Linked DNA regions of Lepisosteus oculatus. The protein of the gene in region 1 interacts with the protein of each later gene in a biochemical or structural test. Links are inferred from orthologs where the notes say so. Each region holds a gene or a part of one and is shown on either strand. Other genes may lie near its edges.

What was found.
Region 2: the proteins of cltb (region 1) and huntingtin-interacting protein 1-related protein form a complex in vitro, tested with the Homo sapiens proteins (2 studies listed by BioGRID). The link is inferred for Lepisosteus oculatus from reciprocal best matches to the Homo sapiens genes CLTB and HIP1R.

What each region holds. Positions count from the first base shown.
Region 1 is NC_090706.1:37,377,139-37,384,564, reverse strand, and holds the start of cltb (clathrin light chain B), read right to left. Parts: upstream 3,096-7,426; 5' UTR 2,895-3,095; coding exon 2,726-2,894; intron 1-2,725. Other genes in the region: faf2 (FAS-associated factor 2), read left to right, coding at 5,018-5,080, 6,074-6,142. UniProt on the Homo sapiens protein: Clathrin is the major protein of the polyhedral coat of coated pits and vesicles.
Region 2 is NC_090717.1:7,337,395-7,345,149, forward strand, and holds the start of huntingtin-interacting protein 1-related protein, read left to right. Parts: upstream 1-4,734; 5' UTR 4,735-5,253; coding exon 5,254-5,346; intron 5,347-7,755. Other genes in the region: ccdc62 (coiled-coil domain-containing protein 62), read left to right, coding at 1-50, 1,140-1,214, 1,822-1,902. UniProt on the Homo sapiens protein: Component of clathrin-coated pits and vesicles, that may link the endocytic machinery to the actin cytoskeleton. Binds 3-phosphoinositides (via ENTH domain).

The DNA of each region.
Region 1 (7,426 bases):
CTGGCAAAAGAACGGAATCCATAAAAGGCAAAATCAAAAATGAAGCCAAACAGCCATGAACACAAATAAGGTCACTTACAGCAATTCTTGTGGAATAATCTATATCTGAACACACTTCTTCTGCATGCTTGCTAAAATGACCCTATCAAATAACTCCTTTTGCTTCTAGGTTGTCAGAGGTCTCCTAGGGTTCAGATCACATCCTGAACAAATTCCACCTTACTTCCATTTAGTATGTTGTTTTAAACACATCCACTCTAAGGGCTATGGGGGAAATTTTAGATGGAAGAACCTCAAATTAAAAAAAATATATATTGTAAAAAGTTAACCTATATCTTACTCTAAGGTCTTTCACAGCCTCACTAGACACCTCCTCTGAATGAAATGTAGTTTAGCAGGTCTACCCAACTGTTGTCAAGCCAGTTCAACAGCAAAAACCCTTCAATGGGCCATTACTTGAACTATAGCAACCTCTATATTTTTCAGTTTATAAAAGATAAAGATCAAGATCACAGACGGCAACATCTTAAGCCTTTTTACAACAACATACTTTTAAATGACTGAGTACAGAACCATATGTAGAATACACATCTGAATTAGGCACCGGTACATGAAGACAGTACTACCTGCTGACTTGACAACTTGCTCATTAATAGCCTGACATATGTTCTAAAATTATATGACTGTGTCTCAGTGAATATGTCCCCATTCACATCAAATAACTCACATTCCAGACGTTTGGCTTTATGGCACAACAGCTTGCATTGTGGATGCTCTTGGTTATCCCCGGAGCTCCATCCACAAACTCGAGCCACCAAAGTCCTTCGGGGTTATATGATGTGAACAGGATCACTGCCTTGAAGAGGCTAGTACCTGGCCATGACGAAGCCACACAAAATGATCAGGCACGTCTGAAGAAAGGCTTGTGTGCAGACTGCGACGTGTGGAATACCCATGAGAAAAAAACGTTCACACAGAACACGGGGACGCTATTCTCTTCCGAGCTTCCAAGACGCGACTGCTGTTGCACGATTACACAATGAAGACGAGTGGCAGATTTAATAGGGTCTCATTTATAGTATGATACTGGAACCATCTCAGAAGTGCTTTACTCTAATTTATTTATAGAAGCAGCGCCCTATACTCAGAAAATGGCTTCTGTGAAGCACTAAGCCACAACCAGGTTTATCCCTACGGGGACCTGCTGAAAAAGCATTGCTTTAGAGGCCTGAAACCTTAAAGGCAAAGATTGAGGCCGTCTGTCACAGCCTGCGCTCCCCTCCAATGCTTCCTTCCTTATCAGTGCAATCGGGATTGTCGTCCAATGCCCGCAGAAAACAGGCTCTCAAAGGAAAACTCCATCCAGGGCGGGAAATCTGCCCCTAGCCTCTCCTTTCTCTGCCAGCCTCTTTGATTTACAGAACTGTGTGCTGCTTATCCCCTCGCTTTTGTTTAATCAGCGTCAGTACCACGGGAAAACAGATGATGGCAAAGTTTCTGCTATTTCTGCTGAAAGATTTATTGACCTCATGCCTGCCGGGGTTCAGGAAATCGGCATCGCACGAACAGCACTTTCAGATGTCAGCCTTTAAAAGGCCCACATGGAATAGCTCAGCATTATTAGAACACAAGCTAAATTTGCTTAAAACCTAAAAGAGGAAAGTCGGTAGACAAAAGGTTTCCTAAATAACATTTTATCAACCACTCGGCCTACATTAATGTGACCTTGGATACAACTCACGCTGATTTTCTGTCTGCTATGCTTAGCAGGTGGCTGGAATAATACCTGGATTAAGATACGGTTAAGGTTAATTAAGGTTATTTACTCATTCTTAGATCCTAATTCTCCAAGCGGGAAAAGAGAATGGTATCCTATTTTACCTTCTGTCCCTTACCAAAACACTAACAAATCACAGTCCTTTTTCTTATAGCTGACATTGCCACAGATCAAGAGCAAGTAAGAGGTTTATTCCCTGCTGAAAAGAGAAGAAAGAAAACATAACGTTTCGGCTGTGGAGCCTTCTTCGATGCGATACGTTTCCTTTCTTCTCTTTTCATCAGGGAATAAACCTCTTACTTGTTCCTTTGCTGCCTACGCATGCTGACGCAGCTACCCACCTGAGCGTGTTTTGAATGAGCTACTTTTTTCTGTATTTCTATACTGTACTGTAACACCGTGGCGGGGAAGCTTTTGGTTTTGGGAGAAACGAGACCCGACCCTACTCCACAGAAATCACCTCGTTTGTCCCATTTCTTTAGCTGGAGAGAAACAAATCACCTCTTTGCTGGACATTCAATCGGTCCTTACTGGAACCCAACAGTAAGATGAAGCGTTCTGGCAAACGGGACAGATAAAACACCGATTTCTGTCACTATTTCGAGGTACAACAAAACTAAAAAAAAAAAAGACGACCAAATATACAGTACTATAGGCGCCACTTTTAAAATGGGCATAGTATTGTCACAGCAAGCCCAATGACTTCTGGCTATGCACTCAAATACTCTCCTTTCAAAAACACAGCAAGTTAGGCTACACTTGGCAAGTAATGGAATAACCAGAACCAGAAAACCACCGCATTTACCATTTTCAGCCTCCGTTTTAAAAGCCAGCACCTTTTTTTTTTAAAATACCAATATCTCCTAAATTCCAGCTCTTTCTGCTCGAACAGCCGATCGCAGTTAAAGCAGCTGCGCTGATGACCGCTGCCGCGGACCCTGTGCCCACCATAACTCTGCAGCGGCTGGCCAGCCCCCTCCAGAGCCCCGAAGCCTTCGTCATTTTCAATCCCGGCGATCTCGCTCTCTTGCTGGGCTAAGAACGCCGCCGCCGGGTCCTCCTCGGCCGGGGCTGCTCCGTTGTCGGAGGACGAGAAGAAACCGAAATCGTCAGCCATCTTTCTTCGGGGTGTTTTTTTTTTTCCGAGAGAAGAGATGAACCGTGCAAACAATACAATGCACTGTCTGGGCTGTATTCGCACAGGAACACCCAAGCACTCGGACTCCAGGAACTGAGCACTTCCTAAACCCTAGGCAAGCACTTCCTTTCCTCCCCCAGCTCACACAGGAACAAGATACGAAATGTCAAAGCAGGCGACTGGGAAATGACATCATTGGGGTCATTATCATAATTTTGGCTGATGTGTGCTAATCCAGTTCATGGGTGGAAACAAAAGACACTTATGTGAATGCAGTCACATGGCCGCACACAAAACACTTTTATGTGTACTTTAAAGCTTCAAAGCAGCAGAGCACATTTCCACTATGGTGAGGAGTAGAGAAGGAGAAAGTTACAGTAGCTTTATAATGTATGGCTACAGGCATTTGTGAATGGCTTATCAGTTCTTCCCAGGACGACAGTAATATCATGGTGCAAACTCCATTATCACCACATAAACAATATTTTCAAACACAGGTGATGGTTTGTAGTAAAACTACAAACTGAAGGTTGATCATTGGTCGTGTTTCATCTGGATAGTGTAAACTTTGTGAGGCTATTTTTATATGCGCTAACTCAACTCAGAATGTTACAACTAATTGTTATTTTAGGAACCTCACTGAAATAGCATCGCATCCTTCAAAGTCGGGAATTAGTTTTCGCACAAGCATTATTTGTTTTTCCACGAAATAATCTAAAGACCCCTTTGAAACTCAAAGCTCAGAAGATGTAGACAATTTTCCATGCAGCTACAGTGTATAATGTATGTTGTACTCAACGGTTTGTACACCTCCCAGTATTTAAATGTTAAGTACATAGGCAGTTTTACTATGTTGGACTGCATAAGGTCGACGTGCACTTCTTTCACTCTGTAGAGAATCTTATAAAATATCAAGGTGGAATTCAGCCCAAATCGTTTTTTTTTCCTATGGCTATGTAGCAGTAAATTACGTTAAGTATGATTACCTTGGAGGTAGTGGCTGAGAGGAGAATGGTGTCCAAATTAATGGTCATCATGAACAACGTCTCCCATCCCCTCTATGACAGGCTTGTGAGAATGAAGAGCGCGTTCAGCAACAGGCTGACCCAACCAGGGAGCGCTACAGAGATCATTCTTGCCTTCTGTCATAAGACTGTACAACTCATCCACTGTGTGTCTGTGCAGGGGCAACACTGACCTGTTTTTGGACTAAACATGAATTCTCTGTTTACAGCTGGTTTTCCTGTATACAACTGATTTTTGTGCAATATATTTATAATGTGCAATACATCTTTTTGTGTACTGAACATCCTGGTTTGTCTTGTCTTCTTCTACACTGTGAGCAATTCTGTAAACTCAATTTTTGAAGTACTTACTGTATTGTGTATTATGGTGTGATTTCGTTACACTGTGCTGTGTTGAGTGTGCCAAACTGCCGTTGCACTGCAATTTCCCTAAGATTAATAAAGTATCTATTATGTTTGCTGATTGTTAAACCAAAGATGTTACAGTATTGTGGTTATGGGCAATTTCTGCCAGCAATAAGCGGCACCAGCACTTAACTCCTGATTTTGTAAAATGTATTAAATAAGACTACAGTAAAATATATGAAACAGTTAAGATGAAACTGTCTCCTAGAAAAAAAAACAGCGAGTATATATATATAGCCACTATCACAATTTAAAAAACTTTTTTTAGCCCACGAGAGGAGCGTCTATGAGCTCGTAAGAAAGGGGGCGGGGCTAAATCTCGGGTCGCATGTTTTCATTGGATGAGAGACATTACGTGCGCGCACCCGAATATTTTGTTTCCGTCTTTTTTTTCCCCCTTTATCTACAGTCATGGGGCAGTAGAACAACAGATAGTCCGTTCTCCATGAAAGAAGGAGGAAACGATAGCACAATTTGTCGGTAGACATTCTTGTCACACGGGGACAGTATGGTTGACGGAATAATTACTTTGGGTTGTGGCTGTTTTATTTTATCGCTCAAAGCAAAGTGAATTTTCTCTCTCTCTTCCCCAACCTCCTCCTTACCTTCTGCCTCTGTCAGAGTGTTACGTCAGTTCCGGTCTGCTCTGTTGCGGGGGTTTGGCGAGGCAAGATGGCGGCGCCAGAGGAACAGGAATTATCTCAGGAGCAGACTGAGAAACTCCTGCAGTTTCAGGTAATCAGGAAGCACATGCTGGATGAAACAACGAGGAAAACAGTCTGGATACTTTCCCCGCCTTGCACGTGAACTAACCAAATGCTGAGGGCAACACACTTTTCTAGAAAACTGGAGATTTCGAACAGAGGATTGAGGAGGGGGGGAGATTTAGATTTTCAGACAGGTATCTTACTCAGTGATTCGTATTTAACGGTGTAGGGGTAAAAAGAGCCCCCATTCCTTGTATTGATGACTTTAAACCATTAGAGTTGATAGTTTTCCACCTGCTGATTAACTGTATGAAAGTTCCATTAAGGACCTGACCCTCACCTTAAAGTGAAAATGAAGAGCAAGGTATACAGTAGATCAGAGTGGATAACACTCAGCATAATAGCATAATTGTATAGGAGAGAGAGATTATAATCGGGAGCTCATCATTCTTTATCAGCAATACAGTAATCTAGATACATATGTGCTTTTGCTCAAGGAAAAGGTAGTGTTCATGAAGTACAGGAAAGGTGCTTGGAAGTTTGTTACGTGTGAATTGACTTTTTAGCTTTTGTAGGTTCTTCATTATAATGCCATGTAAAGCAACAACGAATTGCCTTGATGTTAACACATTGTTTAGCAAACGGGGCAGTTAAAATCAGCATTTTCATGTCTAAGCAGTAAGGTATGGTGGTGCTTTGTATGTTAAGGTTAGGTTTAGTTCTAAAAAACAATGTTGAAACACTTAGATGCTAAAGATTCTTAGTTCCTTTTTGTGTATGACTGATTATTCTGATGTTTTGATATGGTCCCAGTAGTAGGTTTAATGCAGATGAGCTTGAAACCTTATTTAGCATTCATGTACTCAATATTGTTTATTGCTCAAGGGTGAAACAGAAAAGCCAAGTTACAGATATTTTGCTGAGTAAAATCTCTGGCACTGTTTGTTTCCATATAGATTGTGTGTTCTTTACAAGCATTCTGTATATATGTTTATGTAACAATGTTTTTAATGTCTTTCAGGACCTGACAGGTATAGAGTCTATGGATCAGTGTCGCCGCACACTGGAACATCACAATTGGAATATTGAGGTATGATTTTCTAAATGCTCTCTTTTTTTGCTTGGTTGCAGACTCATCTCCATTTTGAGCAGATCGGAGAGCAGAGAACAAATTAGTGTGATCCTTATTGCCCATGAGGTTGTGGGCTCTTTTGAAAGTCATCCAATCTGTTGAAATGTTTTTCAGTACCGATGGTAGAAAATGTATTCAGTTAGTGCAGTTTTCTCAATTTAAAATGCCTGCCGCCTTCTTGGTTTTTAACAACATTTTTAATCATAGTCATATGTCAAACATGGGGCAGTATTTCAGATTAAGAACTAATCTAATTTAAGGTTTGTGATTGTATAGCCTAAAAAATGACTGAAATTTGGGAAGAAAAGGAGTCTGTTGATAGCGAACATTTTTTGGTAATAGGTAGATGACATGCCCCGCACATCATATGAATATAGATTAAAGCTGTGATTAGCTTTTGTGCATCAGAAAAGAACCTTTTCTTGTGACGTTGGCAAATATGTGCATTTCAGCAACGTCAGTATAATGGCAAGGTTTGCTTCAAATGGAATTCGTTTGGACTGATTCTGAATGTCACAAGGCCAGTTCTAGAATTATTTTCTTCTCATTCATATTTGATTTGAACGGGATTAGAAGACCTACGAAGTGTCAGTTTAACTGTCTCCTTTGTTAAAATGTTGGGATTACTCCTCACGTTTGTCTGTCAATAAATCACTGACCTACATTGGTAACAGATGTCTGTTTTCAGTCTAATAATGCTCTGTTATGGTTCTGACATGCTTGTAGGGAATAGCTCTTTCAGTTGGCTTCCTTAGTCCCTGCATTCAATCCAAATGAATATTTTAGCACAAGTTTGAGAACAAATCATAGAAATAAGTGTTTCTCGAACAAGGAACAAGATTAGAATTGCCATCACCATAATACTTTACTGTGAACTTTATATGTAATTTAAGCAGTCCTACAGTACATGTAGGAATATTTGTCTTGCAATTAATTATCAGTAAAAATATTCCTATTAATTTATCTCCAAATTACAATTGAACATTTTGAATCTCACCAGTGAAGGAGGCTGTATGGAGTCTTAAGTTCATTAAGTTTACATTACCATGGTTACCATAGAAATGAATTTTCATTAGTGAGGGGTGTGCACAGTTTGAAATGTTATATGCCTACTCTGAAGTCCATCCATGCATATGAGTGACTTCTTTGGCAGCAATATTACTGTAACGTACTGTGCTGAAATTGTCCACATTTATGCTTTGTAATTGCTGTCAGTAAGCGCAAATAACATGCTGCTGCAGC
Region 2 (7,755 bases), on another chromosome or scaffold:
TGCGACCGGCCAGCCCAGCGCACAGCCTGGACAGCAGTGGCAGCAGCAGGGTATGTCGCCTCTACCAGCAGCTCCCTCTGGCTTAGGGCTCTTTGACACCAGACAGCAGGGATTAGCAAAGCCCATTAGAGATCAAACACCATTTCTTATTTCATAAATCTGCATTTCTTTTTTTGAGGCCAGAAAACTTGTCAACCTTTTAAAAATAAATTAATAGGGCTCTGCTTTACCATTACAATGGTGACATCAGTTCTTGCACAGTTGTTTTTCTTTGATGCTTACTGTATTTCCATATAATATTATGAGAAAAGAATGCATTTTATTTACTCACAATATGCCTTAATATATTTCAGATCTGTATTTCGAAAGAATAAGAACAATTATTACCCTGACTGTTAAAGGAAACACATTATTAAATATTGTGCTTTTATTGAACTTACAAGAACGTATTTAAATATATTGTGAGTTTGTTGGACTTTATATGTGGGGGTGCTTTATTGTTTTTGTTTCATAGAGATCTGTGGCCTGCTAGCCCACTAACCCTGTCAGTCTGAATGATCTCGTGTTGGCTTCCCCAATCAATCGGGTTTCCTAATCTCCATAATCTTCTTACTGTAGAGCTGCCTTGTTAATCTGCTTTTAGGGGTGAATTGTGTCATGCTATCTTGCATTTTGTTCTGTGACATTTTGCTACATAGAGCACAGGCGGCTTTATTGCCTAATTTGCAGAATCTCTAGGTATTTCTGCTTCACTTTCACACACAAAGGGTAACTTGAGTGAAATAATATGATATTAGGTTGGCACACACAATCCTGTAATAATGCGCTGTTCTATTTATAATCTCCTGTCATTCACAGTCTAATACAGTCATTCACCACTCAAGCCTACTGAAATAGAAATGTTTAGTTGAAGTACCATCCAGAGTTAATATTTTTAAAAGATCAGATTTTTTGCAGGATTTAAAGGCAGATGGATGGACTGCTGTGTGAGGACTGTTTTTACTTTATAATAAACTGAAGTTTATATTTTTCTGTTTACAATTATTTATATTTTTGAATACCGACTTCAAGGCTTAAAACTTGATCTTAAAGGTAATGTGGTACGTTGACTGGTGTTTTGTTTCTGAAATTCTGAATAGAGTGTTGAGGCATTGGACAGCAGAGAACAGTTCCTCAGAGACACCCAGCTGCTTGAAGGTTCCACGCACTCCAAGGTAAATATTGTTTCTTAATACAGGCTGGGAAAACAAAGGCTATCAAATCAAGTCAAGTGCAAATACAACTCTATATTAATGTTTATAATAATGTATAATGTTTTATAATAATGTATAATTTTTCGTTATTAGCCCTATACAATTTCTTGCATTAGGAATTCGTCTTTTCGCATACCCCAGCTTTTCTCCATGGAGACAGAGACACACAGACAGGGAGAGAGAAGCTTGGGGACAGAGCGCAGGGTCTGCCATTGTACGGCGCCCCTGGAGCAGTTAGGGTTAAGGGCCTTGCTCAGGGGCCCAACAGAGTAGGATTCCTCTGCCGGCCGTGGGATTTGAACCGGCAACCTTCCAGTCACAGGCGCATAGCCACAGAGCCACCACTCCGCCCTATTAATTGGCAGTGGCCAGCTGAAATAATTCACTAGGGTAACACAAAGATTAAACCACAGACTGATGCACTTTTCAGTCCTGTTGCATAAAAGAGTAACACTGCAGAAAAGTTTGGATTTAGGAGAGTGGTGATGTGAGAGTATTCTGTGTCTCAATATAAGCGTAGAAAACAAAGATGCAGTTTGTCTTACTGTTATTTTTTCTGATTCCACAGCACCAAAATTCTTGTTCTAAGAGAAGTGTAGCAGGCAGCCTCTTAAACCTGGACACACAGCAGCTGCCTGTTAATCTCTAAGACGCATCAGGTATCTGGGAGGCCGTGAATTGGACTGCAAAGGCTACCCATGTGTTCAAAGCCAGCTATCTCCGTGGAACTGTGGGTGGAGGTGAAAGTTCTGAATGACGCTGGGATGCCTGGATTGCACAGGGATGCAGAAATATGTACCATAAAAAAGGAATGTCTTATGCTCCTAGACCACTGTTAGAGTCTAATAGCTAGGGTAGGCGTTTCCTCAGATGCTAACAATGCAAACAGACACAAAGTTAAAAAAGAGTCCCGCTGTATTTTATGCATGTGATAATAAATTCATTCTTTAAAGAATGCGAAAGTTTTTTAAAAATAAACAGTAATTTATTTTTTTAAATTAATGCTGGAAACAAAATGTAATGCAAAAATCTGTTTTCACTTGCCTAGACCTCGATAGTTTTAGATAGCAACATAAAAATAATGACTTAAGTATTATAAAGGAGTAACCAAAAAGCAGAAATTGAGTTTCAGTTTCTGTATTAAATACAAAAGAGATCTGTAGTCAACAGGAATGTGGTTGCACTTTCCATGTAAAATATATTGTTAATGCCTATAGGAAAAAATAGCACATGAGATCTAAGATTTATTGACCTACCAGATCTTTAGATGGCATTAGTCTTGGCTTGGGTTTTTTAAAATATAATTTTATTATCTGAAAGACACATCAATTATAAAAGAAATATTTAAGTATATGCATTTTTATGTTTGAATCATTTGTGGACAAAACTGTTGTTAGAAGTCCAACTCTTCTCTATTAGAAATACAAATGTACTGTTAAGGGTGCACCACAGACACTAGAGCCTAAAATATGACGTTTGCGGGTTTTAATACAGATGTCAGAACCTTTTTCATACAATCACTAACATGTAGTTTCACCTTACAAATACAGTACAGTAACTGGAATGAAACGAGCAATTAAATACAGTAATCTAAGACATGGCACTCTTTAATAGAAACTATTTTAACAGGTCAGAAATGAAGAGCTAAATGATTCATACTGAATCTGAGTGGGCATCTATTTTATTAGAGATACCTGGGCTTTCAAAAAAGTATTAAGTAGTTTTCCCCTGATTAACCTGGAGAAATCTAGATTTTTAAAACCAGCAGTATTTAAAACATTGGGCTCTGTGAGACGTATTTTCCACAGGGGTGAAACAAGCTTTCACTCCTAGATTTAACTTGATCCCAGATTGTCTTCACACTAAATGAGTGATGTTGAGGAAACTTCATTGGCATTCAAGGTCTAGTGAATATCATTTGTTTTCTGGGCTTGTGAAAGGTCCACAATAGCTTTAAAATATTAATTGACAGCAGTTCTTCAACTATTAAAACTCTGCTGTCTCCTGCCAGTAAACCTATTTCCATTAAATTTTGTCTGACTGTACAGTCATTTTACTGTTCCACTCATTACATGATAATGTCAAAGTCTTGCCTCACACCTTTTTTTAGCACGGAAAAATCTGCAAATTTGGGAACATTAGCTAAAAATGTGATAGTTTTCAAATTCAAAGAAGATATTTTGTTCTAGTATTCACCTGAGTGTTACTCTAAATTATAAATGAGCTAAAATGTTGAGGACAGAACGTTCTAATAAGGTACAGTACTACAGCATCAGGGGATACAGTGACTTGTTTTACTTCATTCACTGCTGGTGAGGACATCGTGAGATTACCGTGATGTACATTCAGACAGCTAATTTATTTCCCTCACATTTCAAATACTAAATGCGTGCACTATAACAGTGGTAAGGTGTTTTCTGAAATTCTGCCAGCCTCATTTACCAAGCTTCTCGGTTTAAATTAAACCTTTGTTGTCTAATTGAGTGTTATGTATTTTGAATCCTCTAAAAAGCAATATTTACGCAGCAGCGGGGCAAGTGGGAATGTTATTACAGTGGTATCTTGCACTCTGAATCGTAAGAAAACAGATTGCCCCTCGTTTCAGAGTTCCGCCAGTGTACAAGGGTGTGAGTTTTTTTTTCTAGCAGTTGACGTAAGGAGATGCAGAACAATTTGGACATGTTGCAGAAGTACAGTGACTTTATGTCGTGAAGACAGAGTCTCTAGAGGCGTCAGTACTGAGTTTTTCTTCGTGCCTGTTGACAGTATTGTGAACATCTATAGGGAAGTGGTTGAAACTGCCCTATATTATTACCGTTGGTTCTTGTACATATCAAAAAGCACTACAGACATGAGGACGGAAAACAGAACTATAAACCTAATATGTATCAATACTGTGCAATTCAGATTTGAGCACAAGTGTACTCTGAAATTGTTTTTTTTTAGGTTTTGTAAAGTGCATTATTTTTAACAGTATTTTTCTGAAGATTGTATGTTTTTTTTTAAATGGTCATTGTTATTTGTATCGGAATTGCTCAAATAAAACTTTCTCACATATGTCGTGTACCGTTTTTAAAGATACAAAATACATTTTAAAATAAATATCAGCTAATTAAACTCTTCGACTTCATATTCAAATAAGCAGCACGCTGCAATCCGTTTTATACATTCAGTGTATTTATATAGCCTACATAATGCAATAGGAAATCCATGTTAACATATGAAATTTCTAGACGTCTGAATACTTCTGTGGAAGCCCAATAAAATGCACTGACGTTGTGTAGCGTGTATTTATAATGGCAGATGCCGCTGCTGATTTCTGCAGCAGGCAAATCCAAACGTTTAATGAAAATCTGATCGCACTTGATACGATCGGGGCCAATTCGCAGGGGAGTTTCCCATTGGCAGAGCCCGCCACCAAAAAAAAAAAAGACATTACCGGGCATGGCCGGAACGTGAATCCGACTCCCAGCAGCTTTGTGCGTTGATTGATTGGTGGGGAAAACTGTATACAGTTTTTCTTCTAGACTGATCTCTTATCCCTCCTCCCCCCCTTCTCTCATTCCGCCCATTCAGGAAAGCGCGTTGCTATGTCCGTGTTCTGTGCAACCTGGGCTGGGATCCACGTATCGCAAACACACAGCAGTGCCTTTTTCTTCCTTCTCCCATGATGCTGCGTTCATTTAACTCTGCACGGCGGAGCCAGCCCCTGCACTAGCGCGGCCAGCCGGGAGCTGTTGTTTTTTTTTTTGGGGGGGGCTTTTTGTGTTTTTATTTGTTTTGTTTTCCTTTGTGTTTTAAAGGGCAACCGGAAAAAAAAAAACAAAAAACACACGCGCGTCGTTTGGACTGGTCGCTCCAGCTCGTCGTATCCCCCGGCTTGCTTTTTGTTTTGTTTTTGTTTTTGTTTTTTAAAAAACAAAAGGGTGATTTTTTATCAAGTGCATAATCGACACCAGAGGCAGAGGCATATTCGTCTCCCGAGCTGCCGGAGCGGAGGATGAATTCGATACGACAGGTGCCTTCCAGGGTGAAAAGCAGAAGAAATGAGAACAGTTTGGGGGCGGAGAAAGAGCATTTTGACAAGCAGCAGGTAAAGAGAATATCGCATTGTAAACCGGTGGGCTTGGTTCATTGATAATTTAAAGTCCTACAACTGGGCGAGTAATAGAATTAATTTCACGTGTACGTATACATTGTGTCCTACGTGACAAGACGGGAAGAGTTCAAAAGGTGTCGTCGTCCCCATGTCAGTGAAATCTTTCGAAGAGAACTCAAGCATTTTGTGGGGGAAATGGTGTTTACTTAGTGGTAGCCAGCCTAGGTTGGCTTCTTGAGCTGAAAAAAAAAAATGTGCAGGGCAGAAACATGATGTCAATCATTCGGTGTCTGTTCTGTGTAGCCGTAGCTATCAAAGCGGTCATTAACTGTCCTTGTTTTGTAATTTGTTTGTGTAATATTACTTCTGTTTTGTTCTCGGTGTTGAAACCCGGCTGGGGAGCGCAGTGGCGGGGAGGAGATTGCACATTAATTAAAGAGATTGCTTAAATCTAGACAGGGAAGTGTCCCAAAATAAGTTCACAGTACTCAGACAGCTTAAAAAAAAAGACCCCTCAAAATGCATCGTTATAAAAGTCCTAAATTCGCGCTTTTAAAATCCCGACGTGGATAATAACTGCTAAGAATTCAATATACAGTTGACAGGTCAGTTGAGTCTGCGGTATTTTGCTGAAAAGGGGACTGGTTGGTGTTGGTTTACATACATAAACCGGCAAGGTGGTGATTTCTTTTTAGAAAGTTTGTCTTCCACGCAAAATACGTCATTCAAAGGTGAGTGCACAAATGATGGCTACGAAACAACACCTGATGAAAACATTCATTCTTCCACGTTTGTTTTTTTAACCTGAGCTACGGGCGAACGTCAGCATGAATGCCTCCTTGTAGCCCTGCGAGGGCGCCTCCCTAGCTACCACCGACTTGCTCCCAGCTGATTAGGGAAGTTGTGCACGTCAGGATTCAATGAAAAGGACGTTGTCGGAGGCTTTGCTTACACTTAACGTGATCGGCCTGATGTACAAGCGATACCTGTTCAAGCAGCTTAATCGTGGGTGTCAGCAAACAACTTCGGAAAACAGGCTCCCGTGACCCCTGGGGCATGGAGCTTCAGACTTGACGGAAATTCCTGTGATTCCAGTGGGTTTTCTGTTACATTCGACCCATTACGGCCATTTGGTCCAGTTTATCAGTTTATCACAGCCACTGTAATGCGAACAGCCCCCCCAAAAAAGATTAATTCTCCTTGACACCCCTTTCCCAAAACGGGGCAGTTCAAACGGGTCAATCAAACCTCATCTCTGTGGGAGATGGAAGGGGACAAAAGCACACAGCTTGCACACTAAATTAATCATAGGGGAGGGAGAATGCCTGTTCCACAAGACTGGTCCCCTGAGCTGGAGTCGAACCCGGAAACATCTGGGAAGTGCGAACCCTTGAACAGAACTGGAGGGGTTCTGCATGACCAGCGGCGTATGGATAACAAAAACCAAATGAAAAGGCGAGCGGCGAGCTCCGGGAGGAAGCGAGTCCAGCGGGGAGAAATTGTCCGGTCTCGCTCCGAGCGGGACGGGCTCATCTCATCCCATCACTCGGCACCTTTCGGGATGAGCAATGATTGAATGGGAAACGCCCTCTTGAGGTCTTTTTTGTTTCTGAAATTCAGACTCCAAGCACAGGGAAAAACTTGGAGGAGTGATGATGATGATGATGATGCAGACGGGGGGGGGGGGGACGAAGAGCAGGAGGGCGTGAGCCGAGGGCCTCCCCTCTTGCCATTCAGGCTGGGGCGATTCCGACCTCCACAGTGGAGGTCACATCGCACGGAAACAGATTTTGGAGTCATTCAGTATACAGTGAATCCTGTTCTTGATAAAGTGATACAAATATTTGTATTTGTTTCCGTATAACTGCAACATTTTTTTTTAGGTCAGACCTGACTTTTTTATGTCGAATTTTGAACAGACTAGCAGGACCCCCTTGAAAGCAAACTGGGCTGGTGCATCTTAAGGTGTCAGTATGCTTTGAACAAAATGTATGCTTTCTTTTTAAGCAGTCATAATGGTACCTCTATAATAGTGTGGAGTCTGTTTTGCTGCTTCTTAATGATTTTGTATTACAGTAGTACTAGCATGTGAAAGTTCGTAGAAAGTCAGCACGCTTTCACTGAGGAATGTAATTAGTTCCTCTTTTTAGGAAGAATTGAATGCACTCCGATGTTAAAACCTTAGCTTGGACAAAGATTGATGACCTGCAGTGTTGTGATTCTGGGAGGCCCTAGGGAGTCAGTCCATGAGCAGCAAATTAAACGGGCAGCAAGCTAATTAGTGGACTCAAGATGAAGAAAGCACTATCATGATTGTTAAGGTTTTAGAAGGTTAGAAATCACTGCATCCCCTGACACATCACATTTCGCATGCATAAGAGAGAGACTGAAAGTTTCCAAATG